Callithrix jacchus: one gene and its partners. The protein of the gene in region 1 interacts with the protein of each later gene in a biochemical or structural test. Links are inferred from orthologs where the notes say so. Each region holds a gene or a part of one and is shown on either strand. Other genes may lie near its edges.

Region 1 (6,081 bases):
TGTGTGTGTGTGTGTGTGTGTGTGTGTGTGTGTGTATTCCCCCTAAAGATTTGCTGTTTGTTTTGTTTTTTGTTTTATTCTTGAAGTCCATGTTCCAGTTCCCCTCCACCACTGTGGGGAAGCAGAAAGGAAAGGAACACGACTGTTTACTTAGCAGGTGGACCGCGCACCTGTGTTGATTCTCCTGCACCCGCGGCCTGCCCACCCACCCGAGTTCCCCAGGAACACCTGGCGGACGGCCTTGCCTCCCCGCAGCAGCGGGCTTCCTGCCCCTGAAAGTCCTCTTCCCTCTCAGGCGGCACTGATGAGTGCGGAGGTCTTCTAGCCCTGCAGGGAGGGGAGGGGAGGCGCAGAGTTCATATGTCATTTGTCTTTGCAAAGGGACCGCCTTCCCCTCATTGACTTACTCATGGTGGGTGTGTCGACTGTGAAGCTGAGTTGCTTAATTCTGGGGCTGAGTGCCAGGAGCCAAAGGATCCCCTACCCCGACATTCCCGGGCCGCCCAAGTCTGTCTTCTTCCTAAGGACTCCCTGACTGCCAGGCCACCGCCCCACCGCCAGAGACTCAGAAACCAACCCGGACGTCCCCGCGGCGTCCTGCTCTCTGTCCACCACAGGAGGGCGCTCGCTCCGAGCCCCAAGTTGTCTGCAGCTGGAAGGCGGGCGGCGAGGGGCGGGGAGGAAAGGGGAGGACAGCGGCTTAGGGCGGGGACCTAGCGGGCGCCAGAGGAGTTGGGAAGCGAGTACTTTTCCAGCGGGAGCTGAATAGAGCCAAGGCTTGGGCACGTTTGTGCAGTGGGGGCGTTCGGCCCCCGCCCCTCCGCCCGCCGTCTCCTGTAGCCAACAGCCCGACTTCTCCCAGCAGGGCAGGGAGGCAATAGAGAAGGTGCGGCTCCCAGTTGTTTACCAATCCCCACCCAGTGGAGACAGAAGACAACTTAATTCCACAAAGCTGGGTCCCCAAGGAAAGCGGGGAGGTGAGAGGGAAAGAAGGATGTGGTCTCCATCTGAAGTCAAGATCTCTTCCCCAAGAGCTAGAGGAGAACTTGCCCCCGCTCAGACCAGGTCTAGAGAGGCTGAATGATGTGGCATCACCCTGAAACAGCGTTTACCCCCCTTATCCCCTTCCCTCCTGCCTGAAACACTAATGAAGACGATGAACAATAATTCAATTTAGTCATCTTCTCTGATGGGGGCTGAGGTCCAGGCGAGGCTCCCGTGGAACCTCCGGGTGAGTCATCATCTTGAGGCTGCAGGGACACCCCACCCCATTACTGGGCTCCCCGTGGTTCACGTGTTGGTGCAGCTGCCAGCTCCTGAGACCACCGTCCCAACAAAGAGTCCCCATCCCTGAACGCGGGGAAGCACCTAGAGCATGCCTCCCTACTCCACCGGTACCTGGGCAGCCGCAGTAGACTGTCACACAGCGTCCTCACTGGTCTGGAAAACTCCCTGAGGCAAACCTCAGTCATCTCAGATGTGTCCTCTCTGCCCACTGCACTGTGGTGAGAAAGGGAACTTGCCCCACCCCAGGGCCCCTCTTGCCACACCCAGCGCAAAACACATCTGGGAGCCTCTGGGACTATCTCTGCTCCCAGACCCATCACAGCCCAGTCCAGGAATCATTTCCATCTCTAAGCTCATCCCAGGACCCTCTCCAACCCAAGAGGGGCATCTCTCCTCATTCACATAAAGGCACCTAATGTGCTAGCGGTGGCCTTGTCAGGGTGGGTCCCCCAGCCTAGCGAGTCAGTGAGTCATTTTCAGAGGTTGATGGTGAGCAAATCTTCGGATGGCTGGTGCCCCACTACGTCAAGGAAGCCCGGGAGGAACAGAAATCATTTGGAAGCCAGGACACAAGGGGAAATTTGACCCCAAAAAAGTTTATTGTATAATTACCCACCACTGGATTTGACTCAGAGGGGACCCCCAGAGGTGTCTTCACCTTCCTCCCACTTTATTTTCAGCCCTTGAGGGCTTCATTGTAGATCAAAGCCAAGGCCCCCAGGAAGGTGACATACTCCTGGAAGTTCACCTCCTGGTCCTTGTTCCGGTCCAAGTCGTCCATCAGCCTTGCAATTTCAGCATCCTGCAGCTTCTAATGTGATAGAATGTGAAATCCAGACTCAGGGGTGATGACAACCCTGGATTCTTGTCCTTCCCCCTCCCAGGCCCCCCTCTCTGCAAGTGGCTCTGTGCATCTTTGTCTCCAAGGACCTATGTCCACCTTGGGCTTCACTTTGGCATTACATATCCTCAGCTACTCCTCAGCCGCTGGTCCTCACCTGGAGGGATGGTCATCAGGCTGGGAGTATCCCCTACCCGCTGTGGGAGTAGTTCTACAGCTCAGTAAGACATGTGGAGCAGGGCCTCCGAATGTGGGTAAATGTGAGTCAGACATCAGCCTGGGAGCATCCCCTACCCGCTGTGGGAGTAGTTCTACAGCTCAGTAAGACATGTGGAGCAGGGCCTCCGAATGTGGGTAAATGTGAGTCAGACATCAGCCTGGGAGCATCCCCTACCCGCTGTGGGAGTAGTTCTACAGCTCAGTAAGACATGTGGAGCAGGGCCTCCGAATGTGGGTAAATGTGAGTCAGACATACCTGGCACCTCTCCCTCCCCTAATCCTGCTTCCAACGAACAACAGTGGGAAGAGGAAGAGGGGCCCTGGGGTGGAGGCCACTCACCGAGCCAATGGTAAGCTCCTTCTGGATCAGCTCCTTCAGCTCCTTCTTGCTCAGGGTGTGCTTGTCACCCTCCCTGCCAGAGTACTTGTGGAAGATGGCCACGAGGAGGCCGATGGCCTGATCCAGGGGGCATGCCATTGCTGAGGGCTGGGCTTGGAGCTGGCAGCAGAGGCCCTGGTCAGTGCCGTGGGAGCAAAGACTTCTCACCCACACACCCCAATAACACTGCCAGCACTAGCCCCGACCACTCAGTCTCAGATCACACACAATGGCATGAGGAGACAGCCCAGGGCTTGAAGGGGAAGGAGAGGGCAGACTAGGGCCAAGGCAGGAGAGGTGGCTTAAGGATTCTAAGAATCATATAGGAACAGCAGCTTTGGGCACCGCTGAGAACTGTCCTTTAGGGGATCCAGAAGTTATGGAGTATGGCTGGGCAGGGGAGGGGGATGGAGGCTGCACAGGAGGCCCTAAGCACAGCCTCGCAGGGCCACACATGGTGGCAGTGACACACCCAAGGCACTCCCTTCCACACCCCAAAAGAGTACACCCCATTGGGATCCCTTAGCCCGGGGCCTGCCTGGCACAGCACTGCTGCTCCTGACTATCCCTCCAGCCGGGGAGGCCACAGATGGCCCCAGTCTGGATCCAGGGGCCAGGCTGGGCAGGGGGTGGCTGGACCCCCAGCGTGAGGGCAGCCGGCCCTGGAAAGTACCCAGGGCTCCTGGGGAGAACTCACCGGTAGCGAGGCTGCCAAATGCGACGGGAGCAATCGAGGGGATGGGCTGAGTCGCAATCCGGCTGGCCTTATAGCGGTCTGTGCCCGGGAGGCCGGCTCGGCCAAGCCCACCCCACCCACGCAGGTCCCGCCCGCGCCCCACCCCGCGCCGTGGCTTACACGACGCACACCCCGGTGTCCCCCCTCGACTTTCCACGCCTCCTGCCCGGGGCTGTTCTGGGTTAGGACGGGATAGGGGAGCCCAACAGAACCCACTGCACGCCTGGTGACGGGGAGTTTCCCCCAGCTGCGCAGCTCAACTCGTTCTTCATGACACGTGACCCGGCGAGGGGAGCAGGAGGAGGACGGCGGCGGTCACCCCTGCTTCCTCTGCCAGAGCGTGAATGTGACCCTCGAGTCTGCGCAGCCTCAATGTGGGCAGGGAGGGCGCCTCGCGGGATGCCGGTGTCCCGCAGAGGATACTCAGGGTCACCCCACAGGAGAGAGGGGGAGTAGCCAGCGGTCGGTCTAAGGATGTCTGCAGCACCCACCCCCCACCAGCAACAAGTCCTACCTACACCTCCAGCCTTCCCCTCACTGCCCCAAATTCCATTCACGACAGCACCTTGCGTTAATGCGTGCAGGCAGGAGCCCAGCCCTGTAAGCACCATTCCTAGTGAAAGCCTTTTCAGAGCCTCCCCTGAGAAAAGATTTTGATAAGGGAGGTAGGGAGAGGGGAAAGGGTTGGCCCCCAGAGATGATGAGCGGGGCGCTGCTGAAGGGGAAATGGAGGAGAGGGAGGGGCTGGATGAGACGCAGACTTGCCCTTCCTACCAGTGCTGCCAGGGTGGCCTCCCCTGAGCTCTGAAGTCAAGCCTGCCTGCCCATCACGGCCCTCAGGAGCCACTCCCAGCCCCTCCCAGTGTCCTCCTCTCCAACCAACTTTCTCTCTTTGCTTCCTCTGCGTCCTCGCAGAGTTCCTGCCTGGCCTGACTTCCCCAGGAGGGCAAAACTAAACCAGGACAAGACCAATGACGTCCACACCGAAGGAGAGGAAAGGAGTGGGAGCCCAGGACCCTGACCCCCAGAGACAGAGGCTGTCTCAACCCACTCAAGGGGAGACCCCCCTCCTTGCTCCCCTTTCCCCAGGCCAAGGTAGACCAGACATCTTCAAAACCAGACTCCCAGCACCTGTGATGGAAACTTTATTTCCTCCTGTGGAAGGGTCCATCGGGGAGGAGAGGAGGGCAGGGGACCAAAGAGGGGCCGTGACAGGAGCAGCCAAGGTCAGCGGCAAGGGACACAGGGTGAGGGTGGAGGGCATCCCGAGTCACTTGCTGTCCTCCAGGAAGAAGTCATTGTAGGCCATACACAGCGTGGTCAGGAACACCTAGTACTCCTTGAAGTCGATCTCCCGGTCGCTGTTCTTGTCCAGGCTCTTCATCAAGTCATCGATGCTGCTCTCCTTCATCTTCTTCACAGACCAGGTGGAGGGACAGCTCAGACCCCACTCCCCACCCTGCCCTCCCACCACCGCATGGTGTCACCCCCCTCAAAGCCTCAGGGTGAGCCTCAGGTGAGTCAGGATCTCAACCCCCAAAGTCTGCCCGCTGCCCACACCTAGGGAAGGGCCTGGCACCAGGTAGGGGAAGAGAAACCTGACTCCTGAATGGAAATAAATGACAGCAGGAACGCTGGCCTAGCCTGCCTTTCTCGAAACACTATCCGCCAGCAACAGAAACAATCGTCTAGGTTTCATACCAACACCTGATAAAAACAGCTCAGCGGCTCTCGCCTATAATCCCAGCACTTCGGGAGGCCAAGGTGGGTGGGTCACCTGACATCAGGAGTTCGAGACCAGCCTGACCAACATGGTGAAACCCTCTCTCTACTAAAAATACAAAATTAGCCAGGCGTGGTGGTACATGCCTGTAATCCCAGCTACTTGGGAAGCTGAGGCAGGAGAATCACTTGAACTTGAGAGGCAGAGGTTGCAATGAGTGAGATCATGCCATTGCACTCCAGCATGGGCAACAAGATCAAAACTCCATCTCAGAAAAAAAAAAAGCAAAAAAAACCATCTTGCTGATTGTGTGGCACTGAGCGTTATCCAAGTCTCTGACTGACTCTCTCCTCATTCTAAGGTCTAGCTGAGAATGAGCCCAGACAAAGTGTCTCTCAATGAGAGCAGTGCATTGGGGCTGTGGAGCCACTGTATCCCTCCCTTGCTAGGAGAGCCGTAAAAGAGGCCTGCCTGGAGCCTGGAGCCTGGTTGTGCACTCTTGCCTGGCCCCCTGACATCCCAGCCCGGCTCCACCAGAATGATGGAGTCAGGGTCCTTTGGGTGGAACAGGAAGAAAATACAGATAGGCAGATCCTGCCGTCTCCTCATCACTGCCGTCAGCTACAGGTTTTCCTGGAGACAGGATGTTGGGACTTACAGAGGTGGAACCTACTTGAATGTGACATGACCCTAGACCCCAGCCCGGGCTCCAGTTGTTGCCAGGCCCTCCCCAGGCATCTCTCCTCTGTAATTAACCCCTGCTGGACCCCGGGCCCCTCCCTCTGCCCTCATTAACTCCAGGAAGCAGGGAGCCTGGCAGAAGGCCAGAGATCAGGCCTGGAGACGCCCGCACCTGCTTCTGTCCCCTGCCCATGTGGCACACTGTGAACTTTCTG
Region 2 (6,065 bases), about 14 Mb from region 1:
AAATTTTCAAGGTTGAGAAATGGAGCCTCAAAGCAGCTAAGTACTACCCAAAGTTAGGCATCTAACAAGTGCCAGACTAATTCAGATTCAAATCCAGGTTTCTGAACACAAAGCCTATGCTCTTTTTATCCCTTAGAATAAAAATATGATCACTAAATACATTTTTAAAGACTAGTTCATTTACCATTTTTATGGAAATAATTTTGTCCTACATCTAAATATTGGTAGTTCTCCACTTAGCTGGATGGCTAAAGTCTAATTCCGTATCATTTCTACTTCTCTAAGTAGTCTAACAAATGCAATCCTAGCTCCCTTAATTTCTTTCCAGGGCAGAACAATGTAAAAGACTCCCAATTCTTCATCCAAATCTGACATACCTACCAGTATCTATTAAATGCTATTTCAGTATGTATTATCAAACTACCAACAAGTCTCTAACCTAGAGGAACTCTGTCGACGTAAAAGACATATAAACTTCACAAAATACCATCTCATTTGTAGAAAATAAAAAGCTTCGTAAAAAAGTCGTCTGTTTATCAAGTATATGTACACATCCCTAACTGGTCCTCACTTAGTCCTACAGAATAAAAACATGCCCCATTCTCCATGACGTTTTTCACACTGCAAGCCTATATCAAAATGGCTCATGTACCCCATAAATATATACAACTACTGTGTACCTACGAAAATTATAAAGAAACATAGTGTTAATCCAATGCCCTGAGGGTTTCAGAGAACTTCATTTATTAATAGTTTCTTCCCATTCAGTCAGTCCATCCTCTGGATTGACAATACTTCTCCCTCAACACATTTCTATGTTCCTGCTTAAAATACCATAATCCTAAACACCTTCAGATCAGTTTTCTATACTCAACTGAGCACACAGTACAATTTCCTATAGTACTATACAGTACATTTCTTAGGCATTCTGGCTTGATACTAGCAACCTGACCAAAAAAATCATGTGTCATAGCTTGATTATATAAAGCTCAATTAAAAAAAAATCTTTAAGTACTTAATAACTCAATATCAGGGCCAGGCGTGGTGGTTCATGCCTGTAATTCCAGCACTTTGGGAGGCTCAGGCGGGTGGATCACCTGAGGTTGGGAGTTCGAGACCAGCCTAACCAACATGGAGAAACCCAGTCTCTATTAAATATACAAAATTATCCAGGCATGGTGGCACATGGTTGTAATCCCAGCTACTCGGGAGGCTGAGGCAGAAGACTCGCTTGAACCCAGGAGGCAGAGGTTGCAGTGAGCAGAGATCATGCCATTGCACCCTAACCTGGGCAACAAGAGTGAAACTCCGTCTCAAAAAAAAAAACAACAAAACTCAGTATCAGAAGCACGACAGTTTGAAAGTCTTTCTTAATAGTCTTATAAAATGCAGTAACAGAACTACTAATGCTTTTCCTTTACTACAAGTCTTTTATCTCATTTAACTCAGATACCCTAGTTTTGCCTATCTTTAACAGACGACACAGTATAAAAAGTTCAACTCTGGCCGGGTGGAGTGGCTCACACCTGTAATCCCAGCCCTTTGGGAGGTCAAGGCCAGTGGATCCACTGGAGGTCAGGAGTTTGAAACCAGCATACACATGCTTTTCACTATACCAATATTCCATATATATCATGCCTTCCAACTCTTCCTCTGCTCATGCTGCTCCCTTTTCAACTTACTGAATATACAACTCACCCTTCACATTCAAATCTAATTTTCCCCGTTTCTCACCTCCAGAATTATTTCCTGAGCTATATTACCCACTATGTACTAGACACTATGAGCACAAAGAAAAAAAAGACTGTCCTTGCTCTCATGAGAGCTGATCACTCATATTCAAGTTGTACTGCCGCCAAAACAAAAAGCTGAATACACCACTGAAGGAAAGTGTTACTACATTGTTATAGTGTGAGTTATATGTCTGTGTCCCAACCACACCATGAGCAAGGACTGGGTCTTAGTCACTCTTGTGTATCCTTAAGTCCAAGCACAATAGTGATACACAGTAAGTGCTCAAAAACATTTATTGAATTTAACTGGATTCCTCTCCTCAGTTAATTGAGGTGGCTGTCAGAGTGCAACGTAAAACATTAAAAACCACCACCACTGCAGTGCCTCATATATACTGAACAATTTCAGAGTAAGTTGCTTCGTTGTTGCTATTCATCTTTGCACTGAATCACCTTATTGTTAACATCTTTTGTAAATTATCCCTTCCTATTTATTAAATAAAAACTGATGGGTCTTCCTCCAAGCCACCAAAAACGCACACAGAAAGCTCTTTTAAAGATAAATTTGGCCGGGCACGGTGTCTCACGCCTGTAATCCCAGCACTCTGGGAGGCCAAGGCGGGTGGATCACGAGGTCAAGAGATCGAGACCATCCTGGTCAACAAGGTGAAACCCCATCTCTACAAAAAATTAGCTGGGCATGGTGGCACGTGCCTGTAATCCCAGCTACTCAGGAGGCTGAGGCAGGAGAATTGCCTGAACCCAAGAGGCAGAGGTTGCAGTGAGCTGAGATCGCGCCATTGCACTCCAGCTGGGTAACGAGCGAAACGCCGTCTCAAAATAAATAAATAAATAAATAAAAATTTGTTACTAGATCACTATGAGGAATAGGTTGATCGGAGGCAGAACTGGTCTAGGGAAGCAAATCATACCATAATTACTGATTTTCACTGTATAGCCTGTTGTAATGGGAGCAACCACAGCAGCTGGCTTTTCATTTTCAAGAAGCTCTGCTTTCTTCTGTGATTTCTGTTGCATCTTGTTCTTGATTTCTGTCTCAATCTTGGATTTTTCAGCTGTAAGGGCATCTCGTATTCTTTTCCTAGTAGTCTTTTCCAGCAACACCTTTACCTCTTCTAGATCTTTCTGTAGCTGTGTTAAGACAAAAAATAAGTTAGCTATGATAAATAAGGCTATGGTTTTCTATTGTGCTTATCACTCATTTCAACTTACTGAAATAAGCACTAAGAATTAAGAGGTTCATCTAAATTTTCTAGGATTGAGTTGCAACTTCAATTCTTTCCTCTGGCTTATTAACTATAATTAACTCAAGCTTCCTTTTTTTTTAAAGGAAAACTTTGAACAATCTTGAACAAACAATAGGTAATCAAACCTAGTTTCCAGTTTGTATTTAAAATATTTACAAGACACATCTGCAACTTAGAAATTTTTTTTAACAAGGTGTTCATAGATTTCCTTGTAACATCTAATCCTAGTATCATTAGATGTTAAGACACTTTAAAAATATTTAAGAGATGAGAGAACATGCAGTGTAATACAGCATGGTAATATAGCAACTTTACTGAGGTAATGAATACTCTACTTTCTGTCACTGACTGGTCTTCATTATCTTCCCACCTCAAATACCTCACATAAAAAAAGTCTAAAGTTTTCAGACTAAAGATTTTTAAAAACAAATTTCTGCTTTTAAGGAAAAGTCTTGTTCTGAAGCTGGGTCTTACAGTCAGAAGTGTAGGAGTTGGGTGCACAGGTGACAAAAAACCCAAAATGCAACCTACTCTTGGAAATTATCTTTTGAAAAAGCCACCAAGTTCTTGTTTTCTTTTTATGCCAATCCATCATCTACTAAAGTCTACTACTTTTTACTTTCTAGAGATAGAGGCAACATTTTATGAAATTCAAGAGTTAAAGACAATGTTAGAAAATTATTGAGCCTAAGTTTTTTTCCCTAATTACCCTCTGACATACTGCAAATGCACAAGATCTTTCCAAACAGGTGATTCGCTTTTCTTACAATGACTTTTACATTCTGGCTGGATACTACCAACTTGACCAAAAAATCTTCTGTCACAGCTTGATTATGTCAGAAGCTCAATTTAAAAAAATCTTTAAGTGTTTGATAACTCAGAATAGCCAGGTGCAGTGGCTCACACCTATAATCCCAGCACTTTGGGAGGCCGAGGCGGGTGGATCATGAGGTCAAGAGATCAAGACCATCCTGGTTATTAGCAAGGTGAAACCCCATCTCTACTAAAAATACAAAAATTAGCTGGGCGTGGTGGTGCGTGCCTGTAGTTCCCAGTTACTCAGGAGGCTGAGGCAGGAGAATTGCCTGAACCCAGGAGGCGGAGGTTGCGGTGAGCTGAGATCGTGCCATTGCACTCCAGTCTGGGTAACAACAGCGAAACTCCGTCTCAAAAAAAATAAAATAAATAACTCGGAATATCAGAAACACAACAGTTTGAAAGCCTTTCTTAGTCATAAAATGCAGTAACAGAACTACCCATTCTTTTCTTTTACTACAAGTCTTTTATTTAATTCAGAGGCCCTAGTTTTGCCTAACTATAACAGATGACATAGTATAAAAAGTTCAACTCTAGCTAGGTGCAGTGGCTCCAGCACTTTGGGAGGTTGAGGCCGGTGGATCGCTGGAGGTCAGGAGTTCGAGACCAGCCTGACCAACATGGCAAAACCCTGTCTCTACTAAAAATACAAAAATTAACCAGCGTGGTGGCACATGACTGTAATCCCAGCTACTCAGGAAGCCAAAGCAGGAGAATCACTTGAACCCGGGTGGCAGAGGTTGCAGTGAGCCAAGATCACGCCATTTGCACTCCAGCCTGGACAACAAGAGCAAAACCCCGACTCAAAAAAAAAAAAAAAAAAAAAAGTTCAACTCTGCTCCACCCTCCTGTCCACCCTCAGACCCTTCCAAGAGCGGTTCATACTACCATGACAAAAAATTCTGCAAACTCATCTTTTGAGCCTAGAACTAAGATGTTTTGGTTCAAAGTAATATTTTTATTGTAATAGTTCCAAAAATTCATGCTGATTCCAAAATTCCTAATTCATAAAAATATTGAAATGTAAAATGAAATGTAACAAGCCTAAACAAGAAATTCTGATTTTTGACTGGAATAGGAATGCTTTTTCTAGCAGAATCAGAAAAGTACTTCAAATTAGGCAAGAGATTCCCCCAATGGCTGAATTCCCAAGCCTCTTTATTGCCAGTTTGGCTGTAATCTTTTTATTGTAAGGTATGCACTTAAGAAATTTACAACTGAAACAGTTCCTCAGTTCTGCTGTTTGCAGATTTGAAACCTTCCTGCACAAATCCTTTAACATGTCCTAGATAGAGTAGTTTCTCATCTAGTTTATCATGGAATTTTCCTTGCCTTCTTGGCATGTATTTGTTTTACCTATATAAAAATTCTATTTTTCTTTTATCCCTATCCATAACGCATTCAAGCTTTACCTATTTCCTAATTCTTCACCTAGGAGGCATTAACACCAATGTGCCTCAAAAATGGGCAAAGGAATTCAACACACATTTCTCACAGAAATGGACACCAAGCACATTAAAGATGCTCAACATCCTCATCAAATCCCTAAGATGCCACTTCACACCCACTAGGATGGTATCATAAACCAAAAAAGAAAAATAAAACATCCCAGAAAATAACAAATGTTGATAAGGATGTTGGGAAACTGGAAGCTTCAAACATTTCTTGTGGGAATATGGTGCAACCCTCTGGAAATAGTTTTAACAGTTTCTCAGAAAGTTACCATATGAACCACTAATTCCACTCCTAGGTATATACCCCAGAGAACCGACAAAAATGTCCCCCCAAAAAACTTGTATACATTACTCACAGCAGCTAGCCAAGAAGTGGAAATAAGGCCGGACGTGGGCCCCATGGCTCACGCCTGTAATCCCAGCACCTTCGGAGGCCCAGGCAGGCAGATCACTTGAAATCAGGAGTTTGAGACCAGCCTGGCCAACTTGGTGAAACCCCGTCTCTACTAAAAATACAGAAATTAGCTGGGTGTTGTGGAGCGCGGCAGTGAGGCAGGAGAATCGCTTGAACCCGGGAGGTGGAGGTTGCAGTGAGCCAGGATTGTGCCATCCAGCCTGGGCGACAGAGCGAGACTCCCGTCTCAAAAAAAGAAGTGGAAATAAGTGTCCATCAACTGATGAAAGGATAAACACAATGCGCCATACGCATGAAAAAGAATTTTAGCCATAAAGAGCATGTGTACTGATAAATGTTACACCACAGATGAACCTGAAAATGTTAGTGCTAAGTTGAA
Region 3 (6,065 bases), on another chromosome or scaffold:
GATGTCTGTTGTGTTTAGCACGAGATGGAAAATTGCTATTTTTACTGATGATACTTTAATGCTTGGTTCATTCATGTGAAATAATCTTTCTTTTCTCTGTAATAGTTGTTTTAAAGTCAAAAATGTATTAATTTAAGATAATTTATGAAGCAATGATATATGGAAGGGGGAGATGGGAAATTGTTTATAAAAGGGAAAGTGTTTATAAATGGGAGACGTATATTGAAGGTATTTACATTTAAGGAAAGAGGAAAGGAATGATATTAATATATTTAAAACAAATTCTCCCCCTTTGAAAGTTTGTCACGTTAGGAATCCTGGGATTGGAGTGGTGAATCGTGGCATTGCTCTGCAGTTCATGCTGCTGGGAGCTGCCCCTCACCCTTACTACCCCGCCCCTGACAAACACAAGTTTGCTTATGCTCACGAGACTTGTTTTATTATTTAAAATATCAAGGAGACCTTTTCTCTTTCCCTTTCTTTCTAGAAGGCCAACAATGAGGCCAATCAGAGTGATACAAGTGTCTCCTTGTCAGAACCCAAGAGCAAAAGCAGCCTTCACTTACTGTCCAATGAAACAAAAATTGGATCTTTTCTAAGCAACAAAACTTTAGATGGCAAAGACAAAGCCGGCCTTTGTCCAGATGCAGATGATATGGAAGGAGATTCTTTCTTCGATGATCCCATCCCTAAGCCAGAGAAAACTTATGGTTTGTAAGTAAACGGTTTCTGAACTGGGAGACTAGGGGTTTAAAAACAAGATAAATGCTTTCATTTTATAGTTAAAAAATAATGAACTATGGATGGTTTATAATTATTGGATCCATAAATCTGATTATGTGTTGTTAATGCCTTTATGTTATAAAACAGTCCCAGGTTTTATAAAAACCTAGACATGATTTATTCTTACCTGTTAGATTGAGTGTCTGCCATATGCCAGGGACTGTTCCATGGTGGGTTGTAGCAATGATGGAAGAGGGAAGACGCCTACCCTCAGGAAGCTCATGCTCTGGTGATGGAGTCAGACAGGCAGTGAGAGTTACGCTGTGGTGTATGGGGTGACGAGAGCAGAGCAATGATGGGAGCCCAAGTGTGTGGTCAGGGCAGGTGTGTGTCAGCTGTCCAAATCGGAGGGGGCCTCACTTGGAGGTGTCCTGTGAGCAAAGAGGTAGAGGAGTTAAGGGAGTTGCCATGGGTTGATAGAGCTCTGGGGAGAGGAAACAGCAGACAGCAGGGAGGTGAGTATGGGTGTAGCAGAGAGAGCGAGAATGGGATCCGATGAGGTGGACTCAGAGATGAGAGGGCTGGACGGCTTTCCTTTGAGACTGGAAACCCTGGGGATCTTGAACCAGCATACATTACAGAACCTGAGGTTGCTAGGCAGGGTTGGACTTGGGGTTTCCAGGTAGGAGGCCATTAATGATTATTCAGGTGAGAAGTGATAGAAGCGGTGGGAGAAATAGGTGGGTTTTGGAAGTATTTTGAGTTTAGATGGGAAAGGATTTGCCAGTAAGTGCTAGAGAAAAAAGTAGTAGCCAGAGTGATACCATGGTTTTTAGCCTGCATAACTCGAAGGTTGGAAACACGTTAGATAAAGAGTGGAAAGAGCAAGAGCAGATGCACAGACAGGTGGCATGACAGCCTGGCACTCCCTGTCGCTGTGCTGAGTTAGAGAAGATTGCTGGTGGAAATCCGAAGAAGGCTATTGAGTATATGAATTGGGATTGATGGAGAGATCTAGGCTGGAGATGTAAATTAGGAGTCATCAGTTTGTAGATAATGTTGGGTGTGGAGACGGCAGAGGATCACCAAGGAAGCAGGTCCTGTGCACCTTGAGGCCAGAGGACACAGAACCAGGAAAGTGGTATCTTTGGAGGAGGTAGTAGGGAAGAGCAGCTGTATGAAGCCATTGGATTTAGCCATCTGGAGGTCGGTGACGACCTTGACAGAGTTAGTTTTGTTGGAATGAAGGTGCGAGGCAGGTTAAAAAATTAGAGTGCATTCAAGACAGAGAGGAAAGGATTGTAGATGGCAGGTAGTTTTCTGATGCGTTGTAAAAGTATGCAGAGGACCAGGATGGTGGCTGGAGGGGCAGGATGTAGGGTTAAAAACGTCTTTTAAGTGGGAGAAATAACAGCTCATATGCTGAGGAGAGCTGTTCAGCTTTAAAGGTGGAAGAATTAATGATGTAAGGGAGTAAGAGAAGAACTCATGGAGGGCTGTGCAGCAATAAATCCCATGTAGGGGCTTGTGTTTGCTAGAAAAGTAGAGCGTGTGTGTCCCGTTGCAGGCAGGGGGTGGATATGACGGTAGCACCTGTGCAGGCTCTCATCTGAGTTCATAGTTGAGTGAGGATGGAGGATGGAGGTTAGAGATTGGAGGAGAGTGGAGAAAGTGTGAAATCATTCTATAAGAAAGTAAGGCAAGAAGAGACTGTGGAAACCTGCAGGGTTATTGGGCAGAATTAAAGGTCCTCTTGAGGTTAGTAGTCATGACTTTAAGGGGAGTTCATCAGCATGGCAGTTTGTGGTTTCTGTAAATGATATTTAATCAGAGAGGTGGCACTTATTTGCTAGTAAACTCCTGTATTGTCCCTTGGTTGCATGTCTGGGTGATGGAAAGGGCTTTTGAGAAAAATCACAGTGAAGAGGATTCTAAAGAGAGGTGAGCTGATTTCTTACACACTGGCTGTGTTGATTGTGGTTGATCTGTACTTTGGTAAACCGTAAAGTTTGGCATACTTGGTATATCCTTGGTATACTTTATGGTTTTGAATCTGTAAAGTGTGTATTCTTGATTTCCAGCCGTAAGTTGCTTTTGTTTTAGTGGCAGAATGAAAGTGTTTAGTGGCAGAACATCAGAGCACTATTTCACTGTCACTTGTTTCCTGCTAGGAGGAATGAACCGAGGAAACAAGCAGGAAGCCTGGCCTCGCTCTCAGATGCACCCCCCTTAAAAAGTGGACTCAGCTCCCTGGTGGGAACCCCTTCCTTAAAAGACTCTGAGAGTAAGTGCCCAAAGATGTGGGCGTGATTACTCAGGATATTATTTCTCTAATTAAGCATTTAGAGGACCTTGACAATGAAGGACTAACCAGTGAGGATGTCACTTTAGTATATGAAATAGCAGTTGAATTGAAGAAAAATTTAGAAGTTTAAAGGGAAAATAAAATTGATGAAAATAATTAATTGTAGTCTGAATTCATACCTAATGGAGCTTCTTAAGGAAAGTGATGTCTTATAATTAGGCAAAAACATTTTTTTGGTGGTTGTGTTCCAATAAAGTAGTATTGTTTATGGTTTTAAAAGGGTTGTGGCCGGGCATGGTGGCTCATGCTTGTAATCCCAGCACTTTGGGAGGCCGAGGCGGACGGATCATGAGGTCAGCAGTTTGAGACCAGCCTGGCCAACATAGTCTCTACTAAAAATACAAAAATTAGCCGGGTGCGGTGACACACAGCTGTAGTCCCAGCTACTCGAGAGGCTGAGGTGGGAGAATTGCTTGAACCCAGAAGGCGGAGGTTGCAGTGAGTTGAGACCGTACCATTGCACTCCAGCCTGGGGTGACAGAGCAAGATTCCATCTCAAAGGAGTTGTAATGCATAATTTAAGCATTCATTAATCTTAGTTTATTTTTTCTTTAGTTTTAGGTTATTATGCACCTGTCATAAAGAAGCTCCATATTGAACAACAACAAAAATTAATGTGGTTTAGAGACTGTTGTATTCTAAGAGTCACTCTAATAATATCTTCTCCTGTTCACAGGTAAAGGGGGGAATATAGTTTTGAAAGATCTGAAATTGATCAGTGATAAAATTGGATCCCTTGGATTAGGTAACTAGATTTCCAGTTTTTTTGTGTTGATTGTTTTAAAGTAATTATTTTTAAGGTAAGGTTGTAGAAGAAGTGACTCAGTCTGCCTCCACCGAGCACCTTCCTGCTGCTGTTCATTCAGCAGGTGTTTGGGTGGCTTTCATATGTTCAGGATTATGCCCTATGCCAGAGATGACCCCAGCAACAGCCATCATGTCCTCATGAACCTCTGTCTTCATGGAGTTTAAATTCTGGTCAGGAATATGGACACTGAACAGGTATCTGCAGATATTTTGAGTGTAAAAGGGTCAGTATATATGGGTATAGAAATGGCAAGTAGGTTACCTTGGCCCAGTCTTGACATTCGGGGAAGACCTCTTAGAGGAAGTGATGTCTGTACAGAGGCTTGATGGTTAAGTAGATGTATACAAGAGAAGGGAAGATATTTCTGTTCAATTTCAGACTGAGAAAAACTTGTGCAGAGGCAGAGCCGTTTGCTAGATGCTAGTAGTACATGGTCCAGGCCTCAGAGAATTCAGTCTAATGGGGAAACAAGACTTATTGAAAGAAAAATTGTGAAATGTGTTCAGTTCTGTTCAATGGAGCAGAAGTTGGTGAGACTGCCGTGTAAGTACATTCGTTCTTATGGAGGTAAGAGTGTCAGTGTGAACATTACCAAGCCCTGGGCCATATGTTGAGAGCACAGTTCTCAAACCGTGCTGTCTCCTGTTGCAAGACCGTAGCAGGGTAACAGGCATACTTTTGGCAAACTCAGGCACTGACCTGAAGGAAATGGTGTAGCCAGGCTCTCAGTGGCCACTTCCTATGCTCTCTGTGGATGTGGTGGGATCGCTTCCTGGTCTTTAGTCACTTAGACATGGAAGCATTGGAACACAGCTGCCCAAGCAGGTTGGGGGAAAAAGAAAGCTGTGTCCCCATGTGCTTTTAGAACTCAGGCCTGTCTGAGGGGCAGCACCAAGAATACCCTTCCCTCTTCACGAGAGACATTCTGGTTAGTGCAAAGAACTTGGGCTTGGAGTTGGGTAGCAGTAACATCTCAGATGTGGCACTGATTGATGGGGTAGCATAGGGAGGTAAACTAAACTGCTATTTCCTCATCTGTTAAGTGGAACTAATAACATCTGCCTAGTTTTAAAGAGCAAATAGGATTTAAATACCTTTTCATATGTAAATTAAGGTACAATGCCTGGCATGATAGGTGCCTAGTCAATGTTAGTTTCCCTTTTGTGTTACTTTGTTCCCGCATTTGCAGAAGAATAAATGTCCCCTGAGTTGCCTGGATTCTTGTTCCACACAGTGCCCTGGAGTCCTGGTAACAGCTGACTTGCTGATTATGCCACCCTGTGCTCTGTGTCCCCTGGTTGCTGGCTGGCGGGCCAGCTAGATGGGCCTGCCCCCTCTCCTTCCCTTGTGCTTTTCCTGTCAGCGGGAGTTCTGGTTGCCATTAGATGTTGTTTTCCACTTGACACCAATGGCTAACTGCCTCCAGAGACTTTACTCCAACCTCTGCATTCTGACGGCTGCACTGTCCCCGTCGTGTTCTGTTTTTTTCTCTTTTGTGGTGTTTCACTTTGATGCCAAACCTTTGAGCATTTCACTCTGACTGCTCTATTCTCTGACCAAAGCGAAGGTTTTCCCACCAGCTTCTGAGGCGGAGCTGCTAAGAATTCTCATCCTTAGGAGGGAAGGTGATCGCTCTCGCTGCAGAGGTGCTGGGTACAGGCAGGAAGGTGGTGTGCTCCTTCACTTTTTCTTGGGACTTAGGTATACTTCAGATTGGAATTTGGATAGTTATGCAGGTGAGAACTACCAGTTTACTAGCTGAATGTTTGTCATTTAGCTAGGCATTAGGATTCAGTAGAAATAAAGTTTTACTTTGTTTTGTGGAATGTTTGATTGATATTGCAACAATGTTGTTTTCTATTTGGGTTTTTTACATTTTAAATATACAGTCCTCTAGGTGTTTTGAGTAATATATAGACAGATGTTAGACTACCTTAGGATAATAATGATGTTAGTGATAAATGCTTTACACTGTACCAAGGAATTATTTTATTTAATTCATAGCCTATGAGGTAGGTTTTATTATTATCTCCATTTCTACAGATGAAGAACCTAGGTTAAATAACTTGCCCATGGTCGTGCTGCTTTTAGAGTCCTGATGCATCCCCACGGAGCCCTTACCACTGTGTTTTACTGTCTGTCTGTTACTTAGACAGGATTTAAATAATC

The links.
Region 2: the proteins of S100A6 (region 1) and CACYBP are reported together in a solved structure, tested with the Homo sapiens proteins (2 studies listed by BioGRID and IntAct, with this or other methods). The link is inferred for Callithrix jacchus from reciprocal best matches to the Homo sapiens genes S100A6 and CACYBP.
Region 3: the proteins of S100A6 (region 1) and CEP43 form a complex in vitro, tested with the Homo sapiens proteins (2 studies listed by BioGRID and IntAct, with this or other methods). The link is inferred for Callithrix jacchus from reciprocal best matches to the Homo sapiens genes S100A6 and CEP43.

Annotation. Positions count from the first base shown.
Region 1 is NC_133519.1:13,945,333-13,951,413, forward strand, and holds S100A6 (protein S100-A6), read right to left. Parts: upstream 3,467-6,081; 5' UTR 3,424-3,466; intron 2,862-3,423; 5' UTR 2,826-2,861; coding exon 2,688-2,825; intron 2,099-2,687; coding exon 1,964-2,098; 3' UTR 1,864-1,963; downstream 1-1,863. UniProt on the Homo sapiens protein: May function as calcium sensor and modulator, contributing to cellular calcium signaling.
Region 2 is NC_133519.1:28,149,126-28,155,190, forward strand, and holds part of CACYBP (calcyclin-binding protein), read right to left. Parts: 5' UTR 5,673-6,065; coding exon 5,628-5,672; intron 2,886-5,627; coding exon 2,666-2,885; intron 1-2,665. UniProt on the Homo sapiens protein: May be involved in calcium-dependent ubiquitination and subsequent proteasomal degradation of target proteins. Probably serves as a molecular bridge in ubiquitin E3 complexes. Participates in the ubiquitin-mediated degradation of beta-catenin (CTNNB1).
Region 3 is NC_133505.1:173,673,504-173,679,568, forward strand, and holds part of CEP43 (centrosomal protein 43), read left to right. Parts: intron 1-487; coding exon 488-714; intron 715-2,894; coding exon 2,895-3,007; intron 3,008-3,643; exon of another isoform or gene 3,644-3,764; coding exon 3,765-3,833; exon of another isoform or gene 3,834-5,632; intron 5,633-6,065. UniProt on the Homo sapiens protein: Required for anchoring microtubules to the centrosomes. Required for ciliation.